Linked DNA regions of Rhinolophus ferrumequinum. The protein of the gene in region 1 interacts with the protein of each later gene in a biochemical or structural test. Links are inferred from orthologs where the notes say so. Each region holds a gene or a part of one and is shown in the gene's direction. Other genes may lie near its edges.

Evidence for each region.
Region 2: the proteins of RET (region 1) and GRB10 form a complex in vitro, tested with the Homo sapiens proteins (2 studies listed by BioGRID). The link is inferred for Rhinolophus ferrumequinum from reciprocal best matches to the Homo sapiens genes RET and GRB10.

The regions. Positions count from the first base shown.
Region 1 is NC_046299.1:67,028,089-67,035,911, reverse strand, and holds the start of RET (proto-oncogene tyrosine-protein kinase receptor Ret), read left to right. Parts: upstream 1-4,768; 5' UTR 4,769-5,001; coding exon 5,002-5,059; intron 5,060-7,823. UniProt on the Homo sapiens protein: Receptor tyrosine-protein kinase involved in numerous cellular mechanisms including cell proliferation, neuronal navigation, cell migration, and cell differentiation in response to glia cell line-derived growth family factors (GDNF, NRTN, ARTN, PSPN and GDF15).
Region 2 is NC_046303.1:2,528,137-2,535,919, reverse strand, and holds the start of GRB10 (growth factor receptor-bound protein 10), read left to right. Parts: upstream 1-4,715; 5' UTR 4,716-4,915; intron 4,916-7,783.

The DNA.
Region 1 (7,823 bases):
ATTTTAAAAAGTGCATTCGTAAAAACTTGTCTAAATCTGCAGTACAAGGCAGATTATGAAACCGCCTGGGGAGATGTTTTTTCTAAAAAGCATTCAAGCCATATTTGCTGGACTTGCCAATCCGAGCTCCCTGAGATCTGTATGGCTTCTTGTGAGCCTGGACTGGCCTTCTCCCGGGCCCAGGTGATGCAAGAGGCAGGCACTGCCAGGCCTGAGGCCCCATCAAGCTCCAGTGGCCTTGGGCCTGCAGTGCCCTCGGGCTGGAGGCTCTGTGGGGCACAGTGGACTCAGTGTGGGCAAAGCCCTGAGGAGCCAGGTGGGGCTCCCCAGTGTGTAATGACATGATGAGATAAGGACTGCTGCGGCAAAGAAGAGTCTCAGCTTCCAGGGCTCGCTCTCCTTCCACTGAGAAGGCTGTGGGTCATGTAGGAGGGTGAGGGAAAAGTGTTAGCTCAGGCCGGCCAGTCTCAGTTGGGCTGCCTTGTCCAGACAGGTGTGCACTACTACCTGTGCAGTTGCAGAGCCAGCACAAGGGAAGCAGTCATTTGGATCCAGGGACCACCTGCTTTCTGTGCTAACTCAGCGACGTCCACTGACCTCTGTGGCCTCTTTGCCTCAACTCCTACAGCCGATGGGAATCAGGAGGGACAACTCATTGGCTGTCTGGGGATTCACGTGTCATCGGGCACCTGGGGGAAGGGGACTCTGCTTTCCCATTGAGGCCCAGGGACATTCCAGGTCACACAGACAAGAGACAAAGCCAGGACACAGCTCAGAGCCCACCTGCAGCCTTCACAACATGCCACTGCCCTGGCCTCCCAGCCAGACAGCTCCCTGGACTTTAGAGGACGCTGAAAGAAGAGGGAGGAAAACGCCTCCTGAGCCAGGAACTGTGCAGATCCTGCTAATGCACCATTTGGGTGTGGCCTCACAACACTGCGAGGCACTAACCGTATGACATTCCCAGGTACAGATGAGGAAGCCGAGTCCCAGGGACACAGTTAGCCTGGTTCTGGGGCTAGGTGAAAGGAATAGAGCTGAGATTCCTCCTCGAGAAGAGGGAAGCGGAGGAGGCATGAAAGGAGAAGGCAGAAAAGCAGAGAAGGGGAGGGAAAAGGGAGAGGAAAGAAATTCAGAGGAGACAAGTCTGTTGTGGGGTCCATGGAAGGGTGAGTTGGGGCAAAGAGTTGAGGTCAGGCCTTCCAGGTGGAGGTGGGCCCTGTCTGAGCCTCAGGGTCTCTGACAGTATGCAGGACACAGTTGCTCCTGCTCTGGAGCCCTGGGCGGTCTGGACAAGGCAGCCCAACTGAGACTGGCCTGCCTGAGCTAACACCCAGCTACTGGTCAGGCCTGAGGAGGGTCCTCTCATTGGCCAGGCTGAGGTCCTGTCTTCAAATACCAGCTGTGTGTGAGAGGAAGGCAGGCAGGGCCTCCACACAGTCAGGGGAAGGATGTTCCTGAGTCACACCTTGGAGCCCCAGCCTGGTGTGTTGTGTGTTATGGGGACAGCATATTTGAAATGGAGGTAAGTGGATGGGGAGCCCCACGGTGGGCCCTCACAGCCGGCTAGTGAGCACTGGCTCTCCTTGCAGCTGCACCTGGAGGACAGCAAACAGACATGCCTGTACCTTAACACCCAGTGGAGTGACAGTGCAGCGGTTTATTACCTCTGCTTACAGAGGGGAAACTAAGTAAGCAAGCAACTAGCTACAGTACACAGTCAGCTTCAAAGCCCCTATGCTTCCAGCCTCTGTGTCACACTGCCTGAGACCCCCTCCCGGACCCCCTCTGACCACATCTGGCCCCAGGCAGGGGCCTAACAGGCCTCAGTCAGCAGTTCCTGGAATAATGTCTAGCCTTTTAGTGCCTGCAGGATTGGGCTGTGCTGCTGGCTTTGTTTCCTCGTCCCTGTAAGGTCCCTGGGGCCAGGATTTCCTATCCTTACACTCAGTCTCCACTCCTAAAAGCAGACTTTCTCCCTGAGTTGCCACAGCCACCTGGGTCCATGATCACAGAGCACCCTGGTCCATGATCACAGAGCACCCTGGTCCATGATCACCAGCAGCTCCTCCCCACCTGGACAAGCCGGCACCAGATGGGATCCCTGTCTGTGCTGTCCCTTCCCTGAGCTGTCTTTTGGGGCCAGACCCAAGGGGCTCCAGGTAGGCCTCACCTGCTCAGAGGCAAGGAATGCTGCAGGAATAACCTGTGAGTTGCCCGCCCATGGAGCACCTTATCCTGTGCTGAGAGCAAGGCCTCACTAACACTATTTCAGTCATTCCTCCCAGCCATCCAGATGGGGGAGCACTATTTTAGCCCCCATTTTAGAAATGGCAAAACCAGAGAGGTACAGTGATTTGTGCAATGTCACACGACTGTAAGTGGCAAAATTCAAACTGCTCTGACTCACTCCAAAGCAGAATCCCGTATCAGAACCTCTCGCGGGACTCTTTTTTAAGATGTCGATTTTTATGGAGGTGGAGCCCCGGAATCTATGATAAAAGGGGGGCTGTGGGCAGGGGTGGGGAGCACTGACAACACTGGGATGTACCCCCCTTACCCAGCTCCTAGAGAGCTTCTCAGTGCCTATGGAAGCCCATGTCCCTCAACAGGGCAAGGATGAGAGAGCCAAGTCCCAAGCATAGGTATGGCTATGATTGATGGAGCACTCACTTGTGCCTGGCACTGAGCTCCACCCTCACACATACTCCCTTTTCTATCCTCATCCGTTCTGAGGGGGATGTTTATAGTTGGAAGCTGAGGCACAGAGAGAGATGACTAGGGGAAGCCAGGACAGAGAACAGGAACCTCCTGCAAACTCTCCCATGCAACTGTCCCAGGCGCCCCTAGGACAAAGTGGAGCAAAGGGAGGGGCTTCCTGGGGAATCAGACCAGCACCTTTGGATTCGGCTGAAGCTCAGGCTCTGACCTTGCCCTGTGGGACCTCAGGGAGGCTGCATTCATTTCCTCTTTGCTGGGAGAAGAAGCGCCTTCCTACCATTCTGATGTTCTGGATCTTAAGCCAATGCACAATCCTAGGCAGGGCTGAGTCAGCCCCCGCCCGTAGTCCGAAGCCAGCAAGCCCAGGACTTCACTCCTTTCCCCTACTGGGTGCCCTCCAGACAAGTCCCTGCGCGTGCACGTGGGGGAGGGTACACACCCAAGTCCATACATGTTAGTACATACATATGCACATATGCACACACATGTACATGTATGTGCAATGGTACAAATGTGAGGCTCCCCTGACACTGATCTAAAAGGAGGGCAATGCCCACTCCATAGTGTCAGGCATCTATTCAAGACCCCCAAGGGTGGAGATGGAAAGAGAGTGGGAGGGGGAGGGGGACCCAGGCAGGAGCACAGCCTCCGATGGGACACACAGAGCCAGCCAGAATCCAGCCTGTTCAGTGTCAGCCAAGGCCTGGCCAGGGTACTCCCTGGGAGGTACTAGGGTGGGGATGGTTGGAAGAATGGGTCAAGTCACCCCTCTTCCTTCTGCATTTTCCTGCCACAGGAGCCTGTTTGTAACAGTAAAGTCCCCCTCAGCCCCTCCCTTTCTACTCAGGTCCCTTCCCTGGGCACAGCCCCGAGTGTCCAGCCTTGGTAGCCATTAGCACCAGAAATAAGGGTCTATCTACAAACAAGGGAGCCCCGTGGCCACCAGCCCTATAAATCCGAGGGTGTGGGGCTCTGGGCATGTGAGACAGGCAGCACAAGGTCTGATGGCTGAAGGGGGGCTCTCCAGAGCCGGGCATGCTGTGCCCTGGCCTCTTGCCACAGGCCGGCTCTGGCCATCTCAGCTGGCAGAACCCCCAGCCATCCTGTCTTGGCAGCTCCTCCTCCTGCCTGCAAGGCTGACTTCACTTTGACTTCATATCTGCAGAGTGATGTGCAGACCTCGTATTCAGCCCTGAGCTTGGCCAGGCAAGAGGGTGGAGCCCCAGCCTCGTGTGCACAGCAGGAAGAAGAGACCCTGAAGGGCGCCCCCAAGGCCAAGGTGCGCTGGACCTTCCCACCCCAAGGCTTCCATTCCTCTGGCCCTGGTGGAGGCAGGACCTCAAAAGGTAGCTAGGGGGTAGGAGGAGAACGGTGGGTTTTTCCCACAGAGGTCTAGAACCCGTCTTCACCTCATCCCAGGAACCCCATGTTAAAGGTCCTGAGTTCCCCCTTTCTGGGATTGTATGTGTTTGTGGGTATCCTTTCTTTGGGCGAACATTACATTATTTGAGGCTCCTGTCCCTCCCTGCTACGCGCTCTCCAACTCAGTTCCACATCCAAAGAGCTCTTCTTTTAGGGGTGGCTACTCTCCAAGCACCCCACTAGGCCACCAGGACCAGGTCTGAGAAATGGCGGAGGATGCGCTCCGCGCCAAGAGCCTGGTCCCCAGGTCCGCTCGGGTGCATCCCAGCCAGGCTGCCCAGACCCCGCATCCCCGCGTGGTTTAATTGTCTCGTGTGGGAGGCGGGGAAGGGTGAAGGGTTGGTACAGCGAGGGCGCACAGGCTGAGAAAGAGTGGCTGTGCGTGCGGACTGGGCTGAGGTTGGCAGGCCAGCACCCGGCGCCCCACACCTCGCTCCTACTCCTGTTCCGCTTAGACCACACCCGCACCCCACGTCCAGCACTGGTCCGCTACTGGAGCCTTGCTGGTTCCGCACTGGGCGCTGCCGGGCGGGTATCCCGAGCCCCGCCCCTACCGCACCCGCTCGGTCCCTGGCCCCGCCCGGCCCGCCCCCCTGGCAGCGCCGCCCCGCCCCTGCCCGCTCCTCCCGCGCAGCCCGCGCCTGCCTTGCCTCAGTCCGGCGATCAGAGCCCGGCCCAAGCAGCGGAGAGCGCCCCGGTGTCGCGCTCCGACGCTCCGCGCCCGCAGTGTCCTCCGCGTCCGCCGCGTCCGCCGCGTCCCGGGCGGGATGGAGCGGCCCGGCTGAGCACTACACCCCGCCGCCTACACCCCCTGTCCGAGCCACCATCCTCTTGCCGCGGTCCCGGCGCACACGGGCGATGGCGAAGACGACGGCGGGGCTGCGGTGGCTGCTTCTGCTGCCGCTGCTCGGCGAAGGTAAGTCCTGCTGGCGGCCGGGGCCAAGTTGGAGTGGTGGAGTGGACGCAATCGAAAACGCCGTCCTGTTTGCGGCGGGCCGCAGGCAGCGCGTTTGCGGGCCGCAGGGGCGGGGCGGGGAGCGAGGTGGTGCGGCGAGCAGGGAGCCTCAGGCCCCAAGCTGGGCGGGTCGCGGGCTGGGCCCGGCGGCCGAGGTCGCTGTTCACGGTGCGAGCTGCAGCCGCGCGTCGCAGTCTGGTCGCGCTTGGACCGAAGCGGACAGATACTGTCGCCCTTTCGTCGCAGATAGCGCGGGACGGGTGAGATAGCCCTAGAAAGCCAGCGACCTGTGCACGGAGTTCTGTTTCTGCAAAAGATCGCTGCGTCCTGGTTTCCTTTCCGCGCTCCACGTCGGTTCATTCCTCCTCCTGCCGTGATCCCCTGGCCCGCAGTGGGGTGAGGAGGGGATCTCCTCTTTTATAAAACGTTGCTTTTCCCTCGTGAGTTTTTTGCCGCCCAAATCTTTTTAAAAAACCTAAAAGCCTGTGGTTTCTGGGAAGCCTGCCCTCGATGGCCCACTCAGACTGGCCCAGCGCAGCCCACGGAGGGCCCACCGCGGTCGAGCCTCACCAGGCAGGCTTTTTAAGAGTCGCACGCCGTTGCCAGGCAGGGGCATCTGAAAGTGCGGCCTTTGGGACCGTATGATGGCTCTGGGTCAACATTTAATAAGCACTTTTGACCATCTTGGAGTAGGGTGTAGGGCCGTGTGCCACCAGTGTTGGTGCTGGGAGCATTAGATATGCTCTTGCAAAGGCTGGTCACCACCCCACCCCCAAACCCTGACAGGATGAACCCCAAGGCGGTAGATAGAATCTTTACTCCCCTCGGCCATGCATTTTACTTCCGTTCAAACCGTCCCTGACTGATCCCCTCCTGCTGTGCTTCTGAATGAAGTTTCCCTCAAAGAGGGAAACAGCCCTGGCTACCTCCCCAACACTACTTACAAAGGGTTTTCTCTCCCTATGGCCTTTGGGGACAGAAGAGGCCGTGGCACCCTGTGTCTAGGCCCAGGTCCTGCACAGATTCCGGGTTCACAGGCCTGCGCAAGGCTTCGTTTGTGTGACTGGATCCCAGTGTCAAGGAGCAGATACTGAAGCCAGAATCCTCAATGCGTCATAGAGAGGGCAGGGGAGAAGCCCTTTCTTTGCCGTGGGGATGAATGTGGGAAGGGAATCTGTTTCCAGTATTGGGACCCTGGGCTCAGTGCTGCTAGAGGAAGAGAGCAGGAGGCTGTGAATAGAGCCTGGGGGCAGCAGGGCAGAAGTAAACAGGAACAGGGTGTTATAGAGATCTCCTGTAACTCTTGGGTTGCAACTTTGTAATTGTGGACTTGTGGTCAGGTGTGAGCCAGAAGCAGTGTGCTGAGTGCAGCCTCAGCAGCCTTCAGAGGCTTTCCCCATACCATTCCACAGCCTTGTGCTTTAGCTGCTGTGCTCAGTGGAACTGTGGGGGGGCTGAACTGTGGGGGCTGGGCTGCAAGGGTGGGCCTGTGGCACTTGGCAGGAATAGGTGGCTTTTCTATCGCTGTGGTCCACAGAGTTGGGTGACCAAAGACAGGCTCTCCAATCCAGGGACAGTGAACCCCCAACTCTGCCCATCCTTCCCTTGGGATGACCAAGAAACCACGATTGGTGGCACTGAGAGTGGAGCGGTGGCCCCACACCACACAGGAAGAGACCGCCGAGGCCTTGGAGAGGCCTGTGGGTGCCCTCTACTAGGAGCAGCAGCCCTGGAACTGCCGGAGCCTGGGTCTCAGTGAGCCGCTCCCCGCTGCCACTAGCGTGCCTGCAGCTGCGCTTGGACCCGCCCAGGCGGGGAGCAGCGGGGCCTCTGGGCGCCCTCTTGTGGATGCAGCGCTCCAGTGCCTGACCTGTTGGGAGGAGGGGCTGGGTCTCTAGAGGATGCAGGTCATCCCCTGCTGGGCAAGATACCTCCCCAAGACCGGAAGCTCCCTTCGGTGCTGGGGGACTGACAGGAGGTGGGTATGGGAGGTGACTCGGAAGGGGTCAGTGGCCATGAGCAGAGAGCAGGGAAGGAGCAGCGAGCGCCGCCTCTGGGCTGGCAGGGGTGGGCTGGAGGACCCAGGGAGACCCAGAGCAAGGCCATGGAACATAGACACCCCCCCCAGCCTGCCTCCCCCTACTCTTATTGTGTGTAGCCGCACACACCTTCAAAAAAGGTGCCCACGCAGACACAGACTACCCGACAGGGCAGGACTTGCCTTCTCACCTACACCCTGGTATTTGTGTTCACACCCACACACACACACCCCCACATCCATTTTTGCACACACATGCTCACACTCATAGTCATCACCAGGACACACTCCTGCCCTTTCTCAAGGAGACATGTTCATGATACCTGTGGACACACACACTCCCCTCCTTGCCACTCACGCACACTGGGATCCCGCATATGCACACAGGGGCACTGGGCCCGCCCACCCCACCCCCAGCCATCAGCCCTGGCTATCTTTAAACCAGAGCTAGGGAACCTCCACCTAAGAGTTGTTCTTAGAAGAGTTTTTGGCCCTTTGCTGCTCAGCTCAGGTGCAGCCATCCCTGAGGCATAGATGAGGAGTGAGAATCCCGGCTCCTGGGACTCCACCTGCACATGTCCCCGGCTGACCCCTGTCCAGCACCATCTCCTTGGCCGCCTGCAACTCCTCAGCAGCATCACGTTTCTCATCTTCCTGGCCTGGCTTCTTAGGTCCCATTTTGCTCAG
Region 2 (7,783 bases), on another chromosome or scaffold:
TCAGACGGGATATAAGAAACAAACTGCAAAAGGATAAATTGATAATAGTTAACCTACAAAATTAAAAACTTCTGCTCTCTGAAAGATACTGTTAAAAAAAATAGAAAAGTCTGGTGGAATATATTTGCAAAACACATATCTGCTAAAGTACTGGTATCAAGAATACAAAAAGAACTCTTAGAACTCAGTGATAAGGAAACGATTGATGCAATAATAATAATAGTAATAATAATAATAATAAAATAATTGGACCAAAGACGTTTACTTCAGAGGAGAATGCAGATGAATAGCACGTGAGCACGTGGAAAAGCACTCACCATTTGTTGTCGTGAAGAAAGCGCCAGTTAAAATCAGAACGAGACACCATCGCACACCAGTTGGATGGCTGAAATTAAAGAGGCCGACAGCGCCAAGTGCTGGTTGAGACGCAGAACCGCTGGGGCACTCACACCTTTTGGGGGCAGATGCCCACGGTAAAGTCACTTTGAAAGCAGTGTGGCCGTTTCTTATGACACATTTCATATGGCCCAGCGATCTCGTTTCTTGTTATTTACCCAAGAGAAACGAAAACTTATCTTCCCGGTAAACCCTGTATAGCAGTTTTATTCATAATCGCCCCACAGTGGGACCTGCCCAGGTTTCCGTCAGCCAGTGAATGAATGAACAGACGGAGGTGCGTCCACTCACGGCACAGCAACCAGCTTTAAAGGAGCACGCTCGTGATGCACAGAGCGACACAGATGAATCTCACACACAGTGAGCCGAGGGAGAAAAGCCGGACACAAAAGGCTACATACTGCGTGATTCCATTCATGTGACAATCTCGAAAAGGCACAACTAAGGGGACAGAAAGCGCATAGAGCAGTGTGTGCAGGGCGTGGGGATGGGACATATTGCAAGGCACAAGAGCGAACTTTCTGGGATGATGAAGCTGCTCTTTATCTTCCCTGACATCACAGTTACACAGCGGTTAATTTTTCCTGTAGGCAAATCCAACCTCAATAGATCAGACTTAAGAGGAAACATCCTTCAGTGAGCCTCTGTTTGAATTGTAAAGCCATTTTGATTCAAGGTATCTCAGGAAAAGGAGAGTTTATATTAAGACATCATACGGAAAATGCATTTCCATTGAAAGGAGACCTGCGGTGGCCCAGACCCAGGGAGACAGGGGACCGACAGAGGGCATCCGTTCAGGGCTTGCTTTCAGCGCTTCCCTTCACACATGGGCCCAGCTCAGGTGGTCCTCACCTGGTGCCTGTGGTCCAGACCCCCTCCAGTACTTCCGGTTCGGACTCCCAGGAGCAGGCTTCTGGTGGGCCCATCCTTTCCTCCACAGGCAAACCCTTGGAATGGGAATCCCTGGGCCCAGTGTCATCCCCAGTAAATCAACTGCTATGTAGGGAACCACAAAAGGTGGGGGTGATTGGGGGACTATGGACAGTCCACTGAGGGGGGTACATCGTGTTGGTCAGCCCCGCGGCAGCAGACAGGTCTCACACTCTCCCATCACCTTTGGGATAATGGAGAAATGCCTGAGGGCGACAAGTAAGTCCCTGCTGGCCTTTCCAGCCTGGCCTCTTGTCACGTCTCCCGCCTGCCACGCAACCTCCTCCAGCCCCGCCCCCAGCTTTCTATGACGGAATGTGACTACTTGGTAACTTTTCTTGGCTTTGGTGAGGTACCTGCATCTCCCTCGACCTGGCAGACCTTTCCTTTGGCTCCCTTTTCGGCACTTAGCATCTTGGATGCTCCAGGACTCTGCTAGGGTGTGGCCTCTGCTGGGAAGCAAAGCCGCCAGGCTCCCCATCCAGGCTCCCCGTCTCTGTACCTTGGGGCCGCCTGTACTCCTCTTGCTCAGACGACTCAAGGAGTCACTGTATTTGGAATACTGGCAGTTGTGGATCATGGGGAAGTCTGTTAAAAATGCAGAGTGACCCTGGGGGGCGGTAAACTCCTCAGGGTGGGGATGAGCCCAGGGGTCTGCAGGGTGAACAGATTCCCTTGGGTCCTGCGGGGCGTATTACAATTATACTGTGATTGCAGCTCAAGCCCACCCCACGGTGAGGGGATGGGGTGGGCTGGCAGTCCTTAGTGCCTCTGATGGCTGGCTGGTGTCCAGCTCTGCCCTCCAGATGCATCCCCTCCCACGCCTCTCCCCTTGCATGGCTGGGCCATGGACTGGCCTCTGCCCACGCAAGCAGAAGTGAGGGCCACTTCTGGCCAGAGGGCTTCACTGTCAGTGAGCAGCTCACCTGGCGCCCCTTCCCTTTGCCAAGGCTGCTGGCATGTGTGAGACGGTGCCGGGCATCACAGCATCTTGCCTGCTGCTCTGCTGCTAAATCCCTTTGCATGGTACCACTTCCCAGTGATGAGGGGTTTTCCTGGGTGCCCGCTCAGTGCCAGGATGACAGCAGTGAAGAGCACGCAGTTACCCTTGTCACATGGTTACAGTCGACAGAGGGGACAGGTACCAATTATAGAATCTATCGGATTCTCTCCATGCAGCTGAACAAGCCTTTGCGCACGTCTGGATAAGTGAGTTCCTCACGGTCACAAAATGCCGTTTCCCGTCCTGACACCTAGCTGCAGCCAGGCCATTTCCCCTTGGGGAAGCTCTTGAACACAAAGCCACACTGCCTTGCTCCTGGCCGGCTGGGTGGTCCAGGGTAACTCGAGCCCTGCATGGCTGATGTCCACCCTGGCTGCTGTCATGTGGGTGGTGGGCATTTGGAATTTGCGGCAGGGAAAGGCATTCAGGTGCAGTTTGCCCACAGTACAGGTGTGGCCAGGACCCCGGTCCAGGGGACAGCTGCAGCTTCTAAACCCACAACAGTGACACGTTCATGAACTTGGATCGTAAAGTGGTCCTGAGTGGACCTGCCCAGAAAGGAGATGCATGCGGATATATCTGCGGAGAGCCAGGACAGGTGGGGGCTGAGCGCCTGTCCCAGGAATTTCAGGGATCCATGGAAGCAGGAAAACACTGGAGGACATTTATTTTGGTCCCCTCTCAATGAATAGTAATGTTTGAAAATCCACACGTTTAGAGACAGTAAGTTCTCACCTGACCCTACACTGGGTCCTGTAATGAGGGGAAAGGAACGTTATCAAGGACATTAGCAGATCAACGGGCAACGCTGGGCTATGGACCGAGACCAGACACGTGTACTTGAGCAACATAAATGTATGAATTTGCTAACTGTGCTTCCCTACTCTTAGGGAAGACATCAAAGTATATAGGGGTTAGGGGCTATAGTGCATGAAACCTGCCTACACGGGACTCAGGACAAAACGATGTCTGTTCACAGGTGCTCTTCAGACATCTGCAAAAGCCCGTGGCCGGGGCAGGCTGATTGGTGCCGTCAGCAAAGCTACAAGGTTCAAACTCACATACTTGTAAGAAGTTGGCCCAAATTGAGTTTTCTCTTCTGTGATTTTCTCCCGAGTCCTTTGTCTTCAACAGGAGTCCTTTGTGTTCTGTTCTCCCAGGAATCCAAGATCCTTCACGTCATTCTTTCTAGGTTTTCATCTTACGGTTTTCTGGGCTTGGACCAATGGGTAGACATTTTCAGGAGGCCTATTTCAGTGGCAGGAAAGGGTGACCTTTCATGATATATCCATCCAAAGGTGTGAAAAGCAGGAGCTATAAAAAGTGCCTGAAAAGGGCTTTGGCACCGTCCTTATTCTGCACTTACCAGCTACTTGACCTTGGGCAGGGTATTTCACCTCTGCGAGGTTGGATTTCCTAATCTGCACCGTGGACATCTCCCAGTGACAACCTCAGAGGGCCGGAGTAGGGGCTGGGTGACAGATTGGTGGCCATTTGGCATAAATGAATGGTCAGAAAAAGTTACTGTTGTAGCTGTTTTTGTAACATGAAGATCCAGAAAAAGACATAATTATTGCTATCCTATTTGTATTGTAATTTTGACTCCGTAGACACATTAATAATTATATTAATGATAATGGTTTTCATTCATTCGCAGTGTCCTCCGTGCCAGTCACTGTCACAGGTATGACTTCATTCAACCCCTAGGATATCACCCTCAGGGGGGTTTATTAGCCCATTTCAAAGATAAGGACACTGAGGCTTGGGGGCGCTGAGAACCTATGTAGGGCCTCCTTCCGCCACCCGCATTCACTCCAGTGCTCACACGCAGATGGGGAAACTGAGATCAGATAGAAGAGGCCCCAGACCTGGGTGGCTGTGAGCGGGCACCGCAAACCCAAGATCCCTTCCCCCCCCACCCCACCCCCCCCCCGCCCCCCGGGCTGGACCGCCGGTCCAGACAGAGTCCCCAGCATTGGCGCCTCCTCGGTCCTCCTTGCACTGTGTTGGTGATGCAGGATTTGGACCATACAGTTAAGACTTTGAGTTTCAAAGAATTCGCTTGCAAATTGCCTTTCGGGATAGGTCCGATGTGTCTTCCGCCGGCGCTCGAGCCTGGGCTGTCGGGGTCCCACGTCTGGGGCTCCCGGGAGGCAGGACCAGGGACCCGGGCGCCCACGCCCGGCTGCGGGCCCCGAGGGTCCGGCCCCCTAGCCCGCGCGCCCGCACCACGCCCTGCGCCTAGGCCGCGGCTCCGCCCGCGCTGGCGGCCGCCGAGCGGTCCCGGCTGCGGCGGCGGGAGGAGGAGCAGGAAAAGCGGCCGGGGGAGGAGGCGGAGGCGGCGGAGGCGGGCGGGGCCCGCGCGTTTAAAGCCCCTCGAGGGGGTGGGGAGGCCAGGAGGAGGCTGGAAGGGCCGAGCGGCGCGCCGGCAGCGGGCTCAGCGCTCGGAGGCCGCGGAGACCCGCGCGGAGCCAAAGTTTGCGCGCAGCCCCTAGGCTGGGCCGGGACGCCCCGCGCGCCCCGCCCGCCCCCTGGGCCCGCTCCTGCCCCAGCTGCGCCGAGGTCCCCCGGAGCGGTGCCGCGCAGGTACGGAGTTGGGTGGGGATCGCGGCCGCAAGTTACTTTGTGGTCCGCGCGGCGGGGCCCGGCGGGCGGGCGGTCCCCGTGCGGTCATTGTCTGCGCGCTGGCCGCCGGGCCGGGGACGCCGGGCGCCGCGGGGGCGCGGCGGGCGGAAGGGCGTCGCCTCCGGGCTGGGGGCTGCGGGCGCGGCGGAGCCGGCCGGGCTCTGCGCGGGTTCCCCGGGAGCTGCGGAGCCGGGCAGCGCCTCCTTGGACCATCCCGTCCGACGCCGGCAGCTCACGGGCCGGGGCCAGGCTAGGTGGGGGCTGCGCCCGTCCACGGTCAGGGCCGAGGCTGCGCTCCCGGGCCGCCCGGAGGGTCCCCTGCAGCCCCCCTGAGCCCACGCCGAGCCGGGCACTCCCCAGCCCGGCGCGGCCCAGTCTCGGGAGGGTTTTTATTCGGTTCCGTTAGTGACCCCGTTACCCGCCGCTGGGGCCTAACCCCAACTTGAGGGCTCGCGGATTAGCCGCCGGCCAGCCGTGGAAATGTGATAAGAGCCGTACCGTTTGCAGAAGGAAATTTCTGATGCAACTGTCTGCCTTCGCTGATTGCCTCTCCAAAAGCCTGCCTGGCGAGGCCCTGCAGCATGTGCGCTATGGAAATTAGGGTATTCTCTACTTTTTATTGTGTCCCTCTTCTCCTGGGGTTGGAAGAAATGCCAACTTTTTGTCGTTTGCTTTGACGAAAACCTTGGGCCCTGTAGGGAAGCCACAGGTGACTGAGACACTGCTGGATCCGCGATGCACTAGAAAGAAGGACTTCTCGCAAATGTACCCAGTTTCATTCAAGAGATGCAAAGAAAAGACCAAAACAAGTAGCGCTCCTGAGTGAATATGCGTAATTGCACAACTTTCTGGGTGCTGCTGTTTACAGGGCCAGGCCCAGAACACTTTGTTTCTGAAAATGCTGAATCAGCCGTTTGGAGCCCCCAGCTTCAGAAATGGTGCTCTACTTAACATTTCGCTCGGTTTTACTCAGAACACATGTTAGCGAGCAACAGGCGCTGGCTGGGGTTTACAGCATGAGGCTGGTGGTTTCTCACAGCAGTTGACTTGGAGCCCCCCCCCCTTTCTTTCTAGAAGGAAAAGTAGGTGGAATCTAGATATGTATAGCAGAAGAAATTAATTCCAACTTGTGGGGATAGTGAAGTGTCTTTTAGCGGAAGATTTTGTTCAATAAAAGCCCTGGAAGCAAATTTGTTTCCAGGAATGATGTGGAGGCTGGCTTTTTCGGTTAACATCAGAACTCTAGGATTACTGCACGTAACATTTGAGTTTTATTGGGAATACTTGAAAGAGAAGGGCCACACAGGCCAATCTCCAGATTACAGGGAGGGAATCTGAGGACAGACCGGGTTACACACCCAGCCAGCGCCAGCCAGCGCTTGTGTAACTGAGAAGTGTAGCGACTGATACTTTGTAGCATTTCATAGTTTACGAGACACGTTGGAAGCCTTGTTGCTTTTAGCCCTCTACAGCCCTTGGATCCCCATTTTACAGGTGGGGAAACTGAGGCTCAAGAGGTTAAATTGGCATGCCCAGGGTCACATGGCCAGCACATGATAGAGCTATCACCAGAGCCCAAGTTTTGGATTTCTTTTTTTCAGTCCTGTGTGTTTTATGCTTCTGCACGCGTACATCTGCCTCTGAAAGAGAAATAGCCCAGAGGACGTCCCCTGCCAGTCACACACCCGAGAACTAGCAGGGCCCATTACCACTCCCTGGACTCCCAGCTTTTCAGAGCTCTCTCATTGTCGCTGAGGCCATTATCAACATTTTCTTTTGTCTGCTCATTGATTATATGAAAATACATATTTTTTTGGGAGAAAATTTTGGTATCCACTGAGTTGTAAGTTTGATATGGTAGTTAAACGTTTGTTGTAATAAAAAAATGGTGTTTTAATAAAAGCTGTGTACCCCTAAAGTCATCGATTGCATACTGCCCAAGTTCTGTACCATTTTGGGGGCAGCGATGGCAGGGAAAAATGCCTTTTATTTGTGGACCAAGACCCTGGAACTGGCAGGCTCATGCCAGCTACTTGTTGGGGGCTGTGTATGGTGGTGTGCCATCGGAACACAGGGCAGTACTGGCCCAGTGGCAGTGACCGTCTCTCTGGCCAGTCAGCCTCCACTGAGAGAGAATAACAAAGTCAGAACTAAGTGCTAGCCCAGAACCTTTGATTTTGATGACACAGCTGGTCAAGACTTTACTGTGTATAGCAACCAAACTCCTGCTTGAACAGAAACATCTACACATCTAGGACTGTAGAAATTCTGGGTTGGTAGACCCAGTGCTTCAAAGGTGGCATAATGTACAGAACCTGTTTCCTCCGAGTCCTGTCCACCTCTTACCTGCAAGGAAGAAACACCTGTGTACTCAACACCTGTGTACGGTGTAATTAAGTGTGTGGAAGGGCGAGCACGTCTGCCTATCAGAACTCAGAGAGCTGGCTGCAGGGGACTTCTGTTCTGTTTTGTGGTAAAGACGCCTTTCCATTTGCAGTTTGTGGCATAAACCCCATGTCATGTCTGTCTCAGTCTTCTTAAACCAAAGTGGGGTTTGTTTAGGGCTCGTGAGGAGAAAATACTTGTTTTGCCTTTCAATTAAGCAATCAGTCTTATGTTTAAAATTTAAATAACACTTTTTCTGCTGGTAGAGATTTTTTTTTAAACTGTCTTATTTTATTTTTTTCTTAACTGTAGAAGTATGGGAGGTTACAGAAGAAATTAAGACAGCCGAGCTACTTGGTAGGCAAGGCTTGGCAAACAGGTGCTTTCGGGACCTGGAAACTTTCTACCAGGTCTGTGCTAATGGGTTTGTAACTGATCTTATCC